Linked DNA regions of Struthio camelus. Each later gene encodes a partner of the first gene's protein in a complex. Links are inferred from orthologs where the notes say so. Each region holds a gene or a part of one and is shown on either strand. Other genes may lie near its edges.

Region 1 (7,911 bases):
AAAAAAAGAAGCTTTTATGCGTGAAGTTTTTATGACTGAGACTGGTGCAAAATATCTGCATGGGACAGACGAAAGGGGAACGTGCTGATTCCTAGAAGCCCCACAGTTGAGAAGTAAAGTTTTGTGGGATGTCTTCACTTCAGAGAGTTTCAAAATGTGTAATGGAGGTGCATGGCAACTGGCCAGTCCTTACCTGATCCAAAATAACTTCTGTGTGCCAAATATCCTGGAGATGTGAGGAACTACAGCACCAGCTGCTTACACCTACCAATCTACTCCTATTGCACCAAATGAATAGCTAAAGTAAACAGCCTATGCTATTTTATTCGTTGCTCATAGACAGAACAAAAACTGTAATGGGTTATGATGCACCATACTTTTCCAGGAAAATCTCTTCCACAGCATTCTGAAAGCACAAATTCCATATTTAAATCAGATTCATGGCACCATTTTTATCGACTTTGAGAGACAGATTCAGAGAAAAAGGATTATCGAGCTGAGACTAATAGCTGCATTGAACATGCTCAAATTCACACTAGTTAACATTTTAAATAAGAAGTGCATCTGCGGGGGTGGCGGGGGGACTGTATTACTTAAATATGCCTTACTTTACTACGTAGTGCCACCTAGGGGTTAAAAGCTTTGAAAATGTTGAGTAGCAAGGCATAGGAAGCCATATTAATAGCAGAGATAATTTGTGGTGTTAAACCATCTGCATTTTGGAATTTACTACGCAAACAGAGTGGGTAAACTTCAGCGGAGTTTTCCATACTGTTGTATCTGACAAAAGCATTGTAACTTTCCCAGCTCCCTTTGCAGCAGGTCATAGTCTTCCTTCTCTTCTGTAGCCCAGCAGTGCCTCGGGATGTCAGAAACCCTGGTTTTCTCCTCTACAGTCCAGATCTTTCTCATACGCAGCAGTGGAGAGGTTATCTGCCACTGATAGGCTGGGTAGGGGATTGCTGTCCTGCCATTTTTGGGTCTACAAGAACTTAAAAAAGAGCCTTGACAAGTCATTTGCCTTGTGAGTCCAAAATCAGCGAGGAAACGCAGGCCTACTAAGTCTAGTTTGCTAAAGGAAGGTACTGTAAGAAGGAGGAGTGGGATTCTGGAACTGTCCTCTGCCTGCGAATAGATAGGATTTATTCCTCCTGAAACTGCTTTTTTTTTTTTCCACTTACACGTTACAAATTACAATTGGCTCCCTTTGATGTAGCCTACAAATGGGCAAAAGAAACCTAGAATAATCTGGACCATTTTTGTTTTTCCAAACTGAGTGTTGGGACTGAAAACCTGAACTGGATTATTTCTTTCCTGAAAAACTAAAACTCATGTTTTAAGAGAAATGTTTTGTTTCACACAAAACGTTCTTCTCTCTCAAATGGTATTTGATTTTATTCTGGATCTTCCACAGCAGGTGGCGTACCTGCCACACTGAGACCAGAGATCATTTTTACCTGCTCACTCGAGAAGAGCTACTATATACCTCAGGCAGAAGGCAAATTATACATGCATGTATTAAAGGACGTCTCTCCCCTACCTTTACAGGAAGATAACGAAGCTATCAGAACATTTAATTTTTGAAGGAAAAATATCAAGAAAATCTTTGATTGCATGACTCTATGCTTGAACTGCAATGCTAATAAAGGGCACGGGTCTTTTCCCTGCCCTTCAGCACCCTCCACATACATAAACATTAAATTCAATAATCATTAATCAGAAAGGAAGAAAAAACTCCTAGCTTTATTTGTCCTGTGTTCTTTTTTTAAATAAATCATATTGAAAAAAGAGGCCAGGCATTAAAAATAATTTTGCCTGAGACATAGAAATGGAACAAATACTTTGGTTTTGGAAACAAAAGTCAAAAACTTGCCGAAACAATGCTGCAAGCTATAGCAAAGATTGTCGTAATTACCTCTCAGGTAAACTGGCCCCAGAGTAAATTCACAGCGTGATGGATAAAGTAAACTCTTGTGACTCTCCTCTAGATATCATGATGTAGACACCAAGAGAAGCTGTATATCAGTGCTGCTATACTTGAAGCTGAATGAGCTTTAACAGAACTATCAATAAAAGCTATAGCAGGGAGCAGTAAATTCATGCACAGCGTACTCTGGAACATGCAGATTACTGTTTAGACACTGGGGACAAATACTATACGAAAGTCTTGAGAGAGGGAGACGTTCACATCAGGTCTACATAAGACATTTTTGTTCCGTCAGGAAGGGTGGACGTCTGGCAACTTTGTTATACTGATAAAAGTCATAGGGAATATATAGCTATACTAGTAGAAAAGTCCTTTTCACTTTATAGGTTCTATTGCTTACCAAGCAAGAATATATCAGCATAAATAAATATTTACACTAGTAAATATATACACATTAGAAAGACTTGCTATTACAACTTTATTGGCAAATGTTCTCTAGTACAAATATGACCTAATGGCCTGGACCAGCAACTATTTCTTGCAAAAGGATATGCAACAAATTAGAGAACCAGCAAACAAAATTTGAAATATTCAGAATTTCAGTTATGAAATAAAAAATGTTTTGCCCTGCTCTTCAAAACTCCTGAAATAATGTTTCCAAAATCTTTCATGGTAAAGGACTCAGATGGTTAAAGCCATGATGGTTCAAGGCATTCAGTGCTGGCCTGCCTAAAGTGCGTCTGTTTTTTTCCAACTGTACCCCTTAGTTAAACAAAATGTTACTTTCCTTATAGACCTCACCTCTCTGTTCTGCCCCACAGTATAGTATAGTAGCTGGATGCCTATGACAAACAGACTGGTAAAAAGAAATCCTTCTTCCACTAAACTAGTTTTGCCATCGACTTCTCCAAGGACAAACTTCATCCTCAAACCTTAATCTAATGTGCAAGAGACATACAACAGGTGCAGTATGTTTTAGACAGTCTGGTGTCTCTTGACAAATGCTGCCAGCTGGTAACAGGGTCACAACCATGTAAGGTAGAATATATTAAGCAGAATCAGGTATATCCACACTGACTGTCCCAAACAGAAATGCAAGTAGATGTTTAACAGGAATAAAATTGGGGAAGGGGGGGGAGAGGTCTTGGAGAGCTACATCTGGAGAAATAATATGGAAAAATACAGGAAATTATACCCATATTAACCAATGAGAAAAGTATTTGAAGCAGTGTTTTTCAGGAACCCCACTGCGACACAGGGAAAGCACACAACATAATGATGCAAAGTGACATTCACAGAGGGGCAATTAAGGCTAGCTGTCCCCGTGTCTCAGGAATTTGACTCCTAGGTACAGAAACACAGTGAGCCTTTTGGTGCCTGAGACAGCACCCCCCCTCCGTTTTCCTAACCCCATCCCAGCTCCCACGAACGTATATAGTGGGGGTTCAGAAGTGGAAGCGGTTCCCCTAGGCCTATCCACAGGACAGCCCTACCTGAGAGGCAGGACAACACATGACTGCTGAGCTTACAAAGATGTACCTTAGCAGAGATGAATGCTTACATACTACACAGAGTATTCACAACTCATTAATAAATATTTAAAAATCTGTATAACTATTTTGGATGCTGCAAACGTCATTTATCCCATGTCTCGTACTTTAATTACAAAGATAATGGTAACAATAAAAAATGCTAATTGGAGTCTTTTAAATCCGAGGGGGGGTTACTTTGCAGCACAGCACACTGAATTTCAAGGACACTTCAGATTCATTGTGTGAAACAAGGCTTCCCTGGGGTGTAGAGGGAGGGAAGACTCCCGGCTGGATTAAACTGGTACTCAAACATCAGTTTACAAAGGAATTTAGGATGCAGACACAATGGCACCTTATCTACCTTAATTACTATGGTGATGAGCACTTTAACAACACTTAAGATAGGCTGATAATCCATATAAGACCATATAAAGTAGTCAATATTTTGAAGTGATTAATTCGAAGACAAACTGAAAGTCAAGATAGATTATTTCAGGAAAATCTGGTTATTTGATGCACTTTTAGGAAAAGAATGAAAATGCAGCATGAGTTACAAGTAAATAATGGGAATTATCAAAGTGGAGTTTCATGCTGGGATGCTGAGGGGAAAATCCCTTTAGTGTGCTCCCCATCATCTACATGGAAACCAGCCAGGGTTGGGGTTTGCCTTCTACCTCCAAGGTAGTTTGCTGTTGTTGAACAGGATCTACCGCTTCTCAAAACAGATGTATTTGAGCTCAGACCCAAACCCTCAGTTTTAGAGGGCCGTGTAGTATGTTTCCGTCCCAGCATCTCAAAAATTTTACTCTGAAGGACGGCGCTCTGCTGAGGAAGAGGCCGGGAAGGGAATTAACAGGTACTTTTTTAAAAATTACTTTGCTTTCCTAATAAGGAACATCTTTTCTTCATACCAGATCAGTGACATTTGAAAAGTCCAAGCCTTACACTGTTATCGGGATTGGCTGCTCAGGAAACGATCCTAACATGTCTAGACCAAGGGCGGGGGGCGGGGGGGAGGTTTAAGACGCAGCAGCCAATACACCCACGGACGGCTGCGGAAAAAGCAGCTGCAAAACCGAAGCAGCCTGTTGAAACGCTGTCCCTCTAACGCAAGGAGACGTCCCCCGTTTGGGCCTTGCGGGGACCGTTAGACGGCGCGTTAGCGAGGCCGAGCCGGGTCCCAACGGCCGCCAGGGCCCCCCTCCGCCCCGCTGGGGTAAGAAACAGGCCGGGCTGTTTTCCAGGCCCGCGTCCGTCCCTGGAGCGCCCCCGTCACCCCCCAACGGCCGCCAGCCGTAACATGGCGCCCCGACGCAGCCCGGCAGCGCCGGGGGGGGGGGGGGGGAGTGTGTTGGGGGGGGGTGGCAGTGAGTGCCGCGACGTGATGCGCATGCGCCACCCCGCCCCGCGGCCTCCCCTCGCGGCGTGGGGGCGGGGCGCTGCACGGCGTCCTGACGTCAGAGGCGCGAACCCCAGCAACGGGCGGACGTCGCGAGGCCGCCGGGAACCCGGAAGCGGCGGGCGAATAGGGAGCGAGTGGCGCAGTTAGCGGGGCGGAGGCGCGGCGCGGGGCGCTGAGAGTCCGCGGCGGAAAAGTAGTCCCGGGGGAGGAGGGGGGGGTGGTCCGCGAGCGCGGCTAGTGCTGCTGGGACGGGGTGGGGGAGCCTCGGCCCCGCACCAGCGCTCTCGGACGGAGCTCGGAGGCGGCGGAGATGGCCGCGGACAAGGCCGCGGGTGAGTGCGGGGCGAGCCGCCGTCGGGCCGCTCCGCGCGCGGGGCACCTGGGCCGCGCGGGGCGGAAGGAGACGCGGCCAAGGCCGCGGCGTCTCGTCCCCGTGTCCTTCCGCCGAGGGAAGTAGCGCGCGGGCGGCGGCGGCGGCGGCGGGGCGGCCGGCTGGCGGGCTTGCTCCGCCGGCGGGGCTGCCTGCCGGGGTCGCGGCGGCGCCCCGAGGCCTCGGCGGTTACTAACCCGAGGGCGGCGGGGGGACGGGGCTTCCCCCGGGGCTGAGTAACCGCAACAGAAGTTGCGGCTGGCTTAGTCTGTTCAACGGGGGCCTTCCGACGGCGTTGGGGGGCGATTTCGAAGAAGGCGACCACAATAAACCAGACTTACAATTACTGTATGACTTGCTGGCGCTGATAGCTACTGCTCTTCCTCTCCCGTAAGACTGCGCTTGATGCAGGAAGCCCTCCTGGCTGCGAGGTTCCTTCCCTCAGGTGGTGGCTGGGTGGGGATGAAGTGGGCAATGTGAGGGAAAGCCAAAAGGATCTGCTTGTGTCCTCGAGTCCTTCAGCTGGGCTTCTGCCGTGGGAGCGTTTCTTGGAATTGCCTCTGAAAATTGTCTTTCAATATGCTAAGTGTCACACTTGCTCTCAGTATCTGAAGACCACCGTGGGAAAGATTAGTGTACCTTGCTAAGTGATGCGTATTAAACCGTCCTGCATTTATTTAAAAGAAGCTCACTGTGATTATAAACTACCAGGAAAGTTTGGCGTTAGGAGATTATATATTTCCCCTTTCTTGGAAATGGTGAAGTCAGGAACTTGTCTGTTGTACTAGGTTAGAAGAAAAATACTTGTCCAAATGAAGCAAACACATTGGCTAGATAGTCTGCATATCTGCATGTATGTGCCTATAGCAGAGTGAGTTATGAATAACTTCTGAGTGAAAAATGTTTCCTTCTTAGTGTGCAGTGTTAAATCTAATATGTTGAGATTAGTAGCACAATGCTTCATAGAAAAATGTACTTTCTGAGCCACAAACTGTTGTTGTCTCCTTAGAAGGGCTGAATGCTTTGGCTGCTCTTCATAGCCATCAAAATGTTGTTGGAGTGAGACACCTGTGATAGATTCCTCTCTTTCCCAGGAGGAGATTATCCCCCTGCCTCTAGAGTTTGGAAATATAAAATAATTCGAGAGATGCTCTGGCATTCAACAGCACAGTTTATACAAGGTGTAATTTAAAGGGCCTGGAAACGAGAGGGCTCAAGAGCAGCAATCCTTGGAGATAACAGGTAGGAGAAGGATAACGATTGCAGTCACTGTCCTTTGGGTCTGTGTATGTGGGAGATGTGACTTCTCATTGCTTATATGATGTTGTGTCAGCAGGCCAAAGAGGAGGACAATCTCCCTTTGCAGGTGGCAATCTCATGCTCTTCCTTGTTCTCCTCTAGTAGAACGAGTTCCCCACAAAGCAGATTCTGCTGTCCACCTGGTGCAACTTCTCCAGGAGGAGCAACTACCTGCTGATGCAAAAAGAAATGTCTCCCTGACACAGTGTTTCTGCTGCTCAGCCCCATGTGATACAGGTTGCTAACCAAGAAGATAGTTTCCTGACTTGCTTTCTTTTACATCCAACCCAGTGCAGCAGCTTTCTCCAGATCAAAATGTGAGCAGATAATTTTTACATCCTTTCCCTTTTCCTGGATGTCATTTCTGCTCCTCGCCACTAGTCTGAGAACTATGAGTTTTAGAGATGCTTTGTACTTGAGAAGGTTAGACAACGTGAAAAGTGTAAAAACAAACAAAACAGCTCCACGTGTAGATAAAGTTTGCATAGATAAATTGTGTCCTGTCGTTTGTAAAACAGAGAATCTACACTGTTTCAAATAGTTCGGCTGACATTTGTAGCTGCTCTACAAATAGGAGCATGTTGATAATGACTAGCATGCCTTGTACCTCACGGACCACGTGCTTCTACAAGAACGCCAAAGATCACTAGATCTAAGTAGCATGCTGTATGTTTTGCCAGTGAACCATGTACTTTCGTTTTCAAACGCCTCCGGAAGTATTGACATAATTATTTGCAAGCAGTTGATAGACGTTTGCAGTCAGGATAATAAGAGTACTTTTTCTCCTAAATTTATAAGTGGGATTGGAGGGTTCTTTCTGGTATCTGGGGCAGCCTTACTTTAGATGTCTTGTTTGTGAGGTATCTCAATAATTAAGATCAACCAAAGCAATAGATCCTGGTTTAAACAAGTTTGGGAGGATTACAGTAGATTAGAGGAAGTCGATCAGTTTGGAGCCATAAAACTAACCTTATGGGAGAAAGGGAAGGCCTGTTTTTGCTTAAAATAGTCTCCAATTTCATACTAGGAGACTTAAGAGGTATAGTGAAATCTATTTGTAGACCTGTTGTGTTCTTTCCTAGGAAATAGGTGTAAAGCAGATATTCAGGAGTGCTTTTCTTAGACAACTAGCTTGCAGTCTCTTTGACCTAACTTTCTCTTAATTGAAGAAAAGGCGCTTTGCTTCGGGAATCAGACTTTCATAAGCCCAGTTTCTTTGAGATGCCTGTTTTGTGAACTTGCATACCATAATTACTTATGTGGGTTTTCATGGCACTATAACAGGTTTGTGAAAGTGCTTATAGTGATGTGACAAGTAGCTGTCAATGACATCTTCAGCATTATTCAACTCGCTGTGTGAACCCTGACTCCATGGAACATT
Region 2 (7,824 bases), on another chromosome or scaffold:
AAAATGATAATCAGGAAAGCAACAGTATGGTTAACAATTCCAAGTCAGCTTCGTAAATGTGTTCAGATGTTAACAGTTGATTGGGATGAGTAAGAACCATGGGATTTTTTAGATCTATTGCTTTACTACTGCAGTATAACCCAAATGGACACACTAGAAAATGTTAACGACTAAATGTTCCTCTAGTCCTGCAAGCTTAAGGAAGAGAATAAGATTCAACATGCATTTTAAACTGCTATAGTCCTGATAATGAATCAAATATCTAAGTAATTATACCAGTCATTTAAACACAGTATACAAATATCTTGGGTGGTGGTAGAGCTCAGCATTAGTATCCCTAACTGACAAAAAGGAGTTAGAAATCCCTCTCTTATTACGGATGTCTTAATATTAAAAGCAGATATTTCTAGAAAGAAATAGCTGAAAGCTTTTTGTCATGTTCAATTTCTTCTTAAGTATTTAGGCAACTTTTGTATAAATACAAACATATGTAATAAAGTAATGCTAGGGTTGCAAAGCTAAGTACCTACAAACTATGGCATCCCAGGATTCAAATTCTTTAATTCAGCTCTACTGTGAATATGCGTAAGGGCAGTTTTCAATTATCTTTTCACACACAAGTCTTCTGGAAGCCGCCTCACTCCATTCTGTCCAGAGGAAACCAGGAATATTAATCTCCTCAATGCTTTTTGTATGGGGCTTTCCTATACTTTTAATGCTCAATAAACATCAAAGATTAATCTTTACCATCCCACTATGACAACAGATGCTATTATGTTCACTTGATAAATGGAGAACAGGCCATAAAACTAAAGGCTGAAATCATGAAGCGTGCAGTGATTCTAGATGTCCGATGTGAGCGCCCCAAGACCTAATTTTTCAGAGTATCTGTGTTTGCAGCAACGTCCCATGTCCAGAGCAGTGATCCCACTGATCTCCACTGCCTTGGAAGCTTCTCTGCAAGTCAGACCCTGGTCTCTCTACCTGGATATACTGAAAATGTAGAAGATCAGGCTTTAAGTGATCTCTGCCCTCCTGTCTGGGATCCCTCACCTGCTTCATTCACTCCCTTCCTTCCTCCTCATTATCCATCCTGCTTCACTGCAATGCTGCTCTCTTTCTTCTCTGCTCCATTTCTCATCCCCGTACATTGCAGTTACTCTGCTCCTCTGTCTTCACATTTCCCAGACACAAAGTGGGAGTGCAGCCAGCACAGAAAGTCTCCTTGTTCACCTCTTCCGTAACCAAAACCGTAAGAGCTTTCCCAAGCCAGGACAGCTCTGAGCTTGTTTTCTTTCAGGATGGGGAGATGCCTCCTGCGTTCGCTCATCCCATATGAGTCACAAAGGATGAAGGACTCTGTCTTTTACTTCAAAGAATTTAGAAGTCAAGCAAGTCTTTACTGAGTCAAGCAAGTCTGTATTTCAAATGATTCTAACTTTACCAAATTTGGCCATTTAAACAAGGGCAAAAGCAAAACGTACCATAACTCTGCCACAAAGGCAATTCTTTACCACAAGTTTCACATCCCTCTGTCAATGCATAGAGGCAATAGGTTCTCAAAACAGCTGTAATTATTTGCAACGTGGACAATTACCTTCCCCACCCCCCTCTCCTCCACACTCCCCAGCTCCTACCTTGAATAAATGCATGAGGAGGGAAGATGACAGAGAGAGTGGGCTGCTAGCAGTTTTTGAGCTAGGTCACAGCAAATGCTTATAGCTCCAGGTGTAAGATCAGAAAGACTGTAGGACATACACCTTTGTCTAGTGGGACACTTGCTTGTGTGCCACAAGCTAGGTTTGGCCTAAAGGCGGCCGCTCAAAGACTCCCATTCCACAGCACAAACATGTATTTATGTACTATTTAATTTATGAATGAAAACTTAAGCTCAGACTATTTTGAATTTAACTTTTCTGCACTCATTTGACTCTCTTTAACAACAGTACTGGCCTGAGCTCAGGACAAGCACGCTCCATGTGACACTGCAGCTCCTGAGATGTATGGAAACTCTCACGGGCAGGTAAAAGATTAATGGGAATGGCTCTCTTTTGATTGATGAATCTGTGACCTTGAGCAACAAGAGCGCTTGCATAAAGTATATCTGCCATGTGAGACAGACAAAATGAAAGAGGCTCGTATTACACTCTCAGATCTCATTAAGCACCCAGACCAGAAACACTAATACTGGCACTAGCCATCTGCTGCAGTGTTTGCCTGGTTACAGTTCTGATGACACTTAACGTGAAGCAAAAGTTAATTGTATGCACAGATGAGCAACAGTGCTTCTGCACAGGAAATTCACTGTAGCATAACGGTTTCTAAAAAAACCACATGCGTGTTTTTACTTCATTCTGTTTTTTTTTCAAATCACATAATCAAATTGACTGTTCAAACAAAACTTATTGACATAAAAGGCCATAACTTTAGACTCTTCAAATATTGCTGCTTTTTTATAAATAACCTCTAAAGTTACCAGAAAGTCAATTTGCCCAATTGCTGTGATCACCTGTTGATTTATATAATAGACAATACTACAGAATTATTTTGTGAGCGCTCTTAAATGATTTCCTCTGATGCTCTCTTTTTTGCTTATCTCAATTACTTGAGAATTACTAGTATTTTCTGCCATTTGGTCTCCATTTGCAATGATGAAGGCCCTTGCCGGTAGACCTTTCCAAGTCTACTGTAATATTATCCCAGTACCCATCCCCAAGGAATGAATTTTCCCTGCAAATTTTGAAAGACTTACGATCAGCTGAGTGTTCTTTGTTGAGAAGCAATTCCTGGAAAATTCTGCAATGCATTCAAAGACTTTACTACTGCTTTTGGAGAATTAACTCTAGGCAAAATGATATAGTCGATTGAGGCCATATCTGACCTAGAAAGTATTAACTGAAGAATGTGGGTGACAGCTGGTTATCAGAAATAAAACATATATAGTAAAAGAGAATGACACATAGAGCTACTTGAGCTAGCTCTAAACGACTGTCAGCTCTACAGGAGCCAGCTTCAGCCCTGGAAGCAGATCCAGCACTTCTGCCAGAACAGGCGCTACGTCCAGTAACGGAGCCAGCTCAGATGTCTTCAAAACCCTACTGCATCATGCAGCATGGAGACATTTCAACATCCGAGAATTTCAGATACGTGACCTGAGCAGGCTGGGCAGAAATCTGAGGTATAGCATGTTATTTAAAGCACCAAGGGAGTAAACTTTTCAGCTGCGTCCATTTTATGACCACGCCTGGTACACCGCGTGGGGTCATTCTTTGCAAAGTGCTTCTTTTGCTGGCCATTGTCGGTGCTGCGCAGGAGCAAGATGAGGTAGTCTCCATTTTTCAACTAGATTAGAAGAGAATGGCCTGTTCCACAACTATGTAAGTGCCGTTTATTTTCACTTACATACCCAGTTATACCTAAACAGATGAAGCTTCAGTTCTTTTTAGCCTTCCTATTTCAGAAATAGGTTGCATTTCTGTGATAACGTTTTTTGCTTACTATCCCTCTTGACTAGATGGGGCACGTTGAGCGCGCTAGCAATTTTCTGTCTCAACATCGCTTGGACGTTTTAACTTTATGATAATCAAGGGAAATCCACTCCATTTTGAGACCATTATTTGCAATTTTGGCCAATGCTACCCCACTGATTTTTTGATTTCACTGATTCTTTGTTCCCCACATCTCTTACCTTCGCATCTCTTGTCTTACGGTAAAATCTTTTGGCACAGTGGCGGTAATAACAACACCTAACAACAACGTCCTTTATTTTTCCAAATATCTCGGTATACCTCCACTAACTGGTTCAAACACGAAATTAAGGAGACCTAACCTGCATTTCACACAGGGTGCCGATGGTGACTCTGGTTGCCATTTTACCGTAAACATCGCCCATGCAAACGTCAGCAGCAAACGATCCAGGGCACTATTTTGTTATTGAAGACACTCACATATAAAAGACATCGCCCTTCATAAAAAGCACATTTTGTCTGAGCACGCATACTGCACGTTCGGGTTCTTAGTGATTCTTATCTACACGCAGAGGAATTTGAAGTTGTTAAAATACACGATTATTTTAATTAGGCTTCCTGGACTTGCGCTAGAAGCTGTTTCACTGCTTTACACCCTTCACACCGGCCTAATATTTGAAACATAGAGGAAACGTTCCTCTCCCGCCTCCCCCGGCCCGGCGCGGGCCCGCGCGGAGGGCGCCTCTGCGGGGCCAGACACGCTTCCCCCCCCCCCAGCACCCCCGTTTCTGCCCGGATCTCCCCCAAACGCGGCTGCGGCCACCCCCGCTGCTGGTTTCCCCCCACCCTCCATTTGCCAGCCCGCCCGGTCTCCCCGCCGCCGGGGCTCCAACGCCGACTCCGCCATCTCGCTCCCCCCCGCCGCGGCCCGGGCCCTGCGCGGCGGCGCCGGCGGCGGCGGCGGGGCCCGGCGCGGCCAATGGCGCGGGCTGTGGGCGGCGGCGGCGGCGGGCGGGGCGGAGGGAGGCAGGGCCGGAGGAGGCAGGGCCGGCCCGCCCGCCGCCGCCGCCGCCGCTACCGCCACCACCACAACCACCACCAGCAGCAGCACCGCCATGATGCTTGTTTGCTTTCAATGAGTGCGAGGAGGAGGCGGGGGGGGGCTGCTCTGCCGTCCGGCCCGCGGCAGGAAACAAAGAGCCAGGCAGGCGGCGGAGAGAGGGCGGCGGGGCGACGGGGATGCTGCAGCCACAGGTAGGGGCCGCCCCCGCGGCCTCGGGGCGGGGGGCGCTGTGGCGGGGAGGAGTATTAATGCCGGGCCGGGGGGCGGGGGGGGGCACGGCCGCTGGTGGGGGAAGGGAGGAGCGCTGTTATGGCGAGCGGGGAGCGCTGCCCGGCGGGGGCTGCCGGGGGTGGAGGTAGGGCGGGGGTTGGACCTCCTCGGAGTTTGGAGGGGGCGGTGGGAGTTAGTTGGTAGGGGGAGGTTCCCCCCCCACCCCCACCACCGGGCTGAGGGGGGTGTCAGCGCCGTGGGCCGGGGCCGTTGCGGCCGCGCAGGCCCCTCCCGGCGCGGCGCTGGGGGAAGGGGCCGCGGGCCCGGCGGGGGTGCGGCGCGGCGCTGGGGGAAGGGGCTGCGCGGCCGCGGGCGGCGCTGGCGGCAGCGCGCTGCCTCCGCCGGGGGCGGCTGCTGCTGCCGCCGCGGGCAGGGCCGGGCCGGGCCCCCGTGCGGGGCGGGGGGTCCCGCCGCCAACCGGCGGTGGCGGGCAGGTAAACACCGATGTGGCGGGTGAGCGTGCAGGGCGCAGGGGAAGCGGGGAAGCTGCCGGGCGTATCGGCCCGGGGAAGGCAATTAAGAGGAATTAGCCTAATGACATCTGGAAGCGTGAAGTTTTGTTTTTTTTTTTTAAACTGTGCAGTTGAGTTTAAAATAATTAAACAAAGACAGGGAGAAAGGTGTGTGTTGGGGGGGGGGGGGAATGACATCAATGTGACAATCGCCCGTCTGCGCTCCGAGCGCAGTTTCCCCCTTCCCGAGAGGGACCGATGGGTCTCAGCCGCGGCGGTGCCCGGCGCTGCTCGGGGCGCGGCTGGGGCCGGCGCTGGCTGGCGGCGGCGGGCAGCGGCCTAGCTGGCGGCGGGGAGGCCGGAGCGGCCCTGGCAGCGCTCGGCGAAGGGGAAGACGGCCGAGGTTGGGGGGGGGGGGGCGTGACGGACGGCGCGGCCGGCCAATGAGGGCAGGCGGGGGGCGGGACTTGCGCGGCCACGTGAGGCCGGGGGACAGACGCATGCAGGGGTAAACAGAGGGGAATTGGGACAGCGGCCCCAAAAGGGGCTTGTTTGTCCGCGGCGCCGCGGGAAGGGGGGCGTCCGCTGGCAGCCGTGGGAGGTATCCAAACGCGTCGGGCTGCAGCGCTCTTGAAGAGGCCATTATTCTTTAATTGAGCTAATTAGGGGAGGAATTTTTACTGCGTTCGTTAGTCCCCGTGCACCTGTCCGGCAGTCTAAAAAAATCTGAGCTGAATGTGAGGCTTTTTGTGCTGCCTGCGCTCTCGGAGCGTGAAGCAATGCGGTAGGAGTTCCCGGGGTCCCTCTGCCGGGGCTGCCTTCCCCCCCTTTACCCTGTCATAGAAAATGTTAAGTCTGGGGCCATACAAGACTTTTAAAAACTGCATTTCTGTGCCTCTGTGTTGCAGACACGGTTCACCAGGAGCTTTTCCACGAATGTTAAAGAGTCATACAAAGCTTACTTTGCTTTTTGCAGTGTAAGAAATGCATTCAGAGCAGACACAGTAAAACAGGGTTGTATTTTTTTAATAAACATCTGTATTTCTGCAGATGCACAAAGAATTGCATTACTGGAAATATAAGCGCATAGGCAGGCGTTTGCTTTGCGACTAGCAAGTCTTCTGGGTTTGGGTTCTTTTTTTTTTTTTTTTTGAGGGTTATTTTCTCAGTCTAGATTTTGCCACGATGGGTAACTAATTCAAAATACAAGGGATTCAGAAATAGCTGTGGCATTTGTCTGGCTTAAATATGAGGATATACAAGTGTTGACTGGTAATTGTTTTGTATCTTGCACTTTTTTTTTTTCTTCATTCTAGAGCAGGTCTCGTAATTGGGAATTTATCAACATTTCCACTGGGGTAATTTTACAGGATTATCCACCCTCTGTTCTTCCTGCTGGTTCATCTGGACTCTGTGGAGTTTGCTGCTAGCAAAGAAGCCTTCTGTGGGGGTTTATTCATGCTATTACTGAAATGGAGCCCTTCACGTTTGGATTAACTCTTTATTCACTTTGCACCTGAATCGCTTGGATCGGTCCATTTTATTAAAAGGATACTACCATGCATCTCTTTTCTGTTTGCATATTGAAGTTGAACTCTGAGCGCAGTCTTGATGTGTTCAGGCTGTTTACTGTGCTTGAATTTTAGAGGAAGAACTGAAATATAAAGATAGATGAGACTGTAATACTGCATGGGCAGGTAAATACTCTTGACGTTTTACATATGAAGACTTAAAAACATGTCACAAAGGGTCACAAATCGAATGAGTGTGGTACCCGTAGAAATAAAAAATGTTAAGGTCAGGCTGTTCTGGATATTAGGAAGACTTGCTCTTCTAAACAAGTGCAGTGTTCATAATGGAAGAGGCTATCCTTGAAAAGGGGTAGATGCTCCCAAGGGTGAACAAACTAAAAATTCTTTCCCAACTCAACAACAAAAGCATCCCTTTTATAAAGCATGGCAGCGAAAATAAAAATGGGCTGTATTCTATCAGTAGGAATGCCAAAAAGCTAAGTGTTTTTGTTTGTAGTGCAATGTAGCTTATTATATGGATTACCAGCGTGCCTAGGAGGCCAGGTGGTGAACCTGAATTCCTCGTTCCGGTTGCGTAGCCCCTGCTGCAGAGGCTGTAGGCCTACTTCTTCTGTTTACCAGCAGACTATTGAAATTCAAATTTTTCTCTTGTTCTGTCATGTAATTGTGGCTGAACGTGTGTGTATGTGCAGTTTGTAACACACCGTCCCTGGTCCAAAGGGGGCTAATTTAAGTGAAGGGTGTACCTAGACGGTATTTTCATGAATGAAATATACTTTTAGTCTTTAGAATCTAGTTGCATATTTTACAAGAATTGATAGTTAACCCGATATTACTTTTGCTAGGAGAAATGTACAGTGCCCAGAGGTAATAATTATGTATGAGCTTGGAAAAGTAACACAGACCTTAAAATCCCAGAAGAGCAATCTCTGCAGACCCTACATTTCGTTTCTAGTCCTAGCTACACGAGAGAGAGGTTGACTCTTGCCCTGTGGCATACAATGTGCCTTGGTTTTTTTTATCTGTGTATTGAGATCTTA

The links. Proteins that work in one complex are often made in the same cells at the same time.
Region 2: CNOT10 (region 1) and CNOT6 share a complex: the UniProt entries of both Homo sapiens proteins name them as parts of the CCR4-NOT complex. The link is inferred for Struthio camelus from reciprocal best matches to the Homo sapiens genes CNOT10 and CNOT6.

Annotation. Positions count from the first base shown.
Region 1 is NC_090943.1:47,701,645-47,709,555, forward strand, and holds the start of CNOT10 (CCR4-NOT transcription complex subunit 10), read left to right. Parts: upstream 1-4,881; 5' UTR 4,882-5,171; coding exon 5,172-5,193; intron 5,194-5,347; exon of another isoform or gene 5,348-5,621; intron 5,622-6,325; exon of another isoform or gene 6,326-6,473; intron 6,474-6,632; exon of another isoform or gene 6,633-6,847; intron 6,848-7,911. UniProt on the Homo sapiens protein: Component of the CCR4-NOT complex which is one of the major cellular mRNA deadenylases and is linked to various cellular processes including bulk mRNA degradation, miRNA-mediated repression, translational repression during translational initiation and general transcription regulation.
Region 2 is NC_090954.1:6,505,528-6,513,351, forward strand, and holds the start of CNOT6 (CCR4-NOT transcription complex subunit 6), read left to right. Parts: upstream 1-4,805; 5' UTR 4,806-4,839; coding exon 4,840-4,885; intron 4,886-6,260; exon of another isoform or gene 6,261-6,949; intron 6,950-7,824. UniProt on the Homo sapiens protein: Poly(A) nuclease with 3'-5' RNase activity.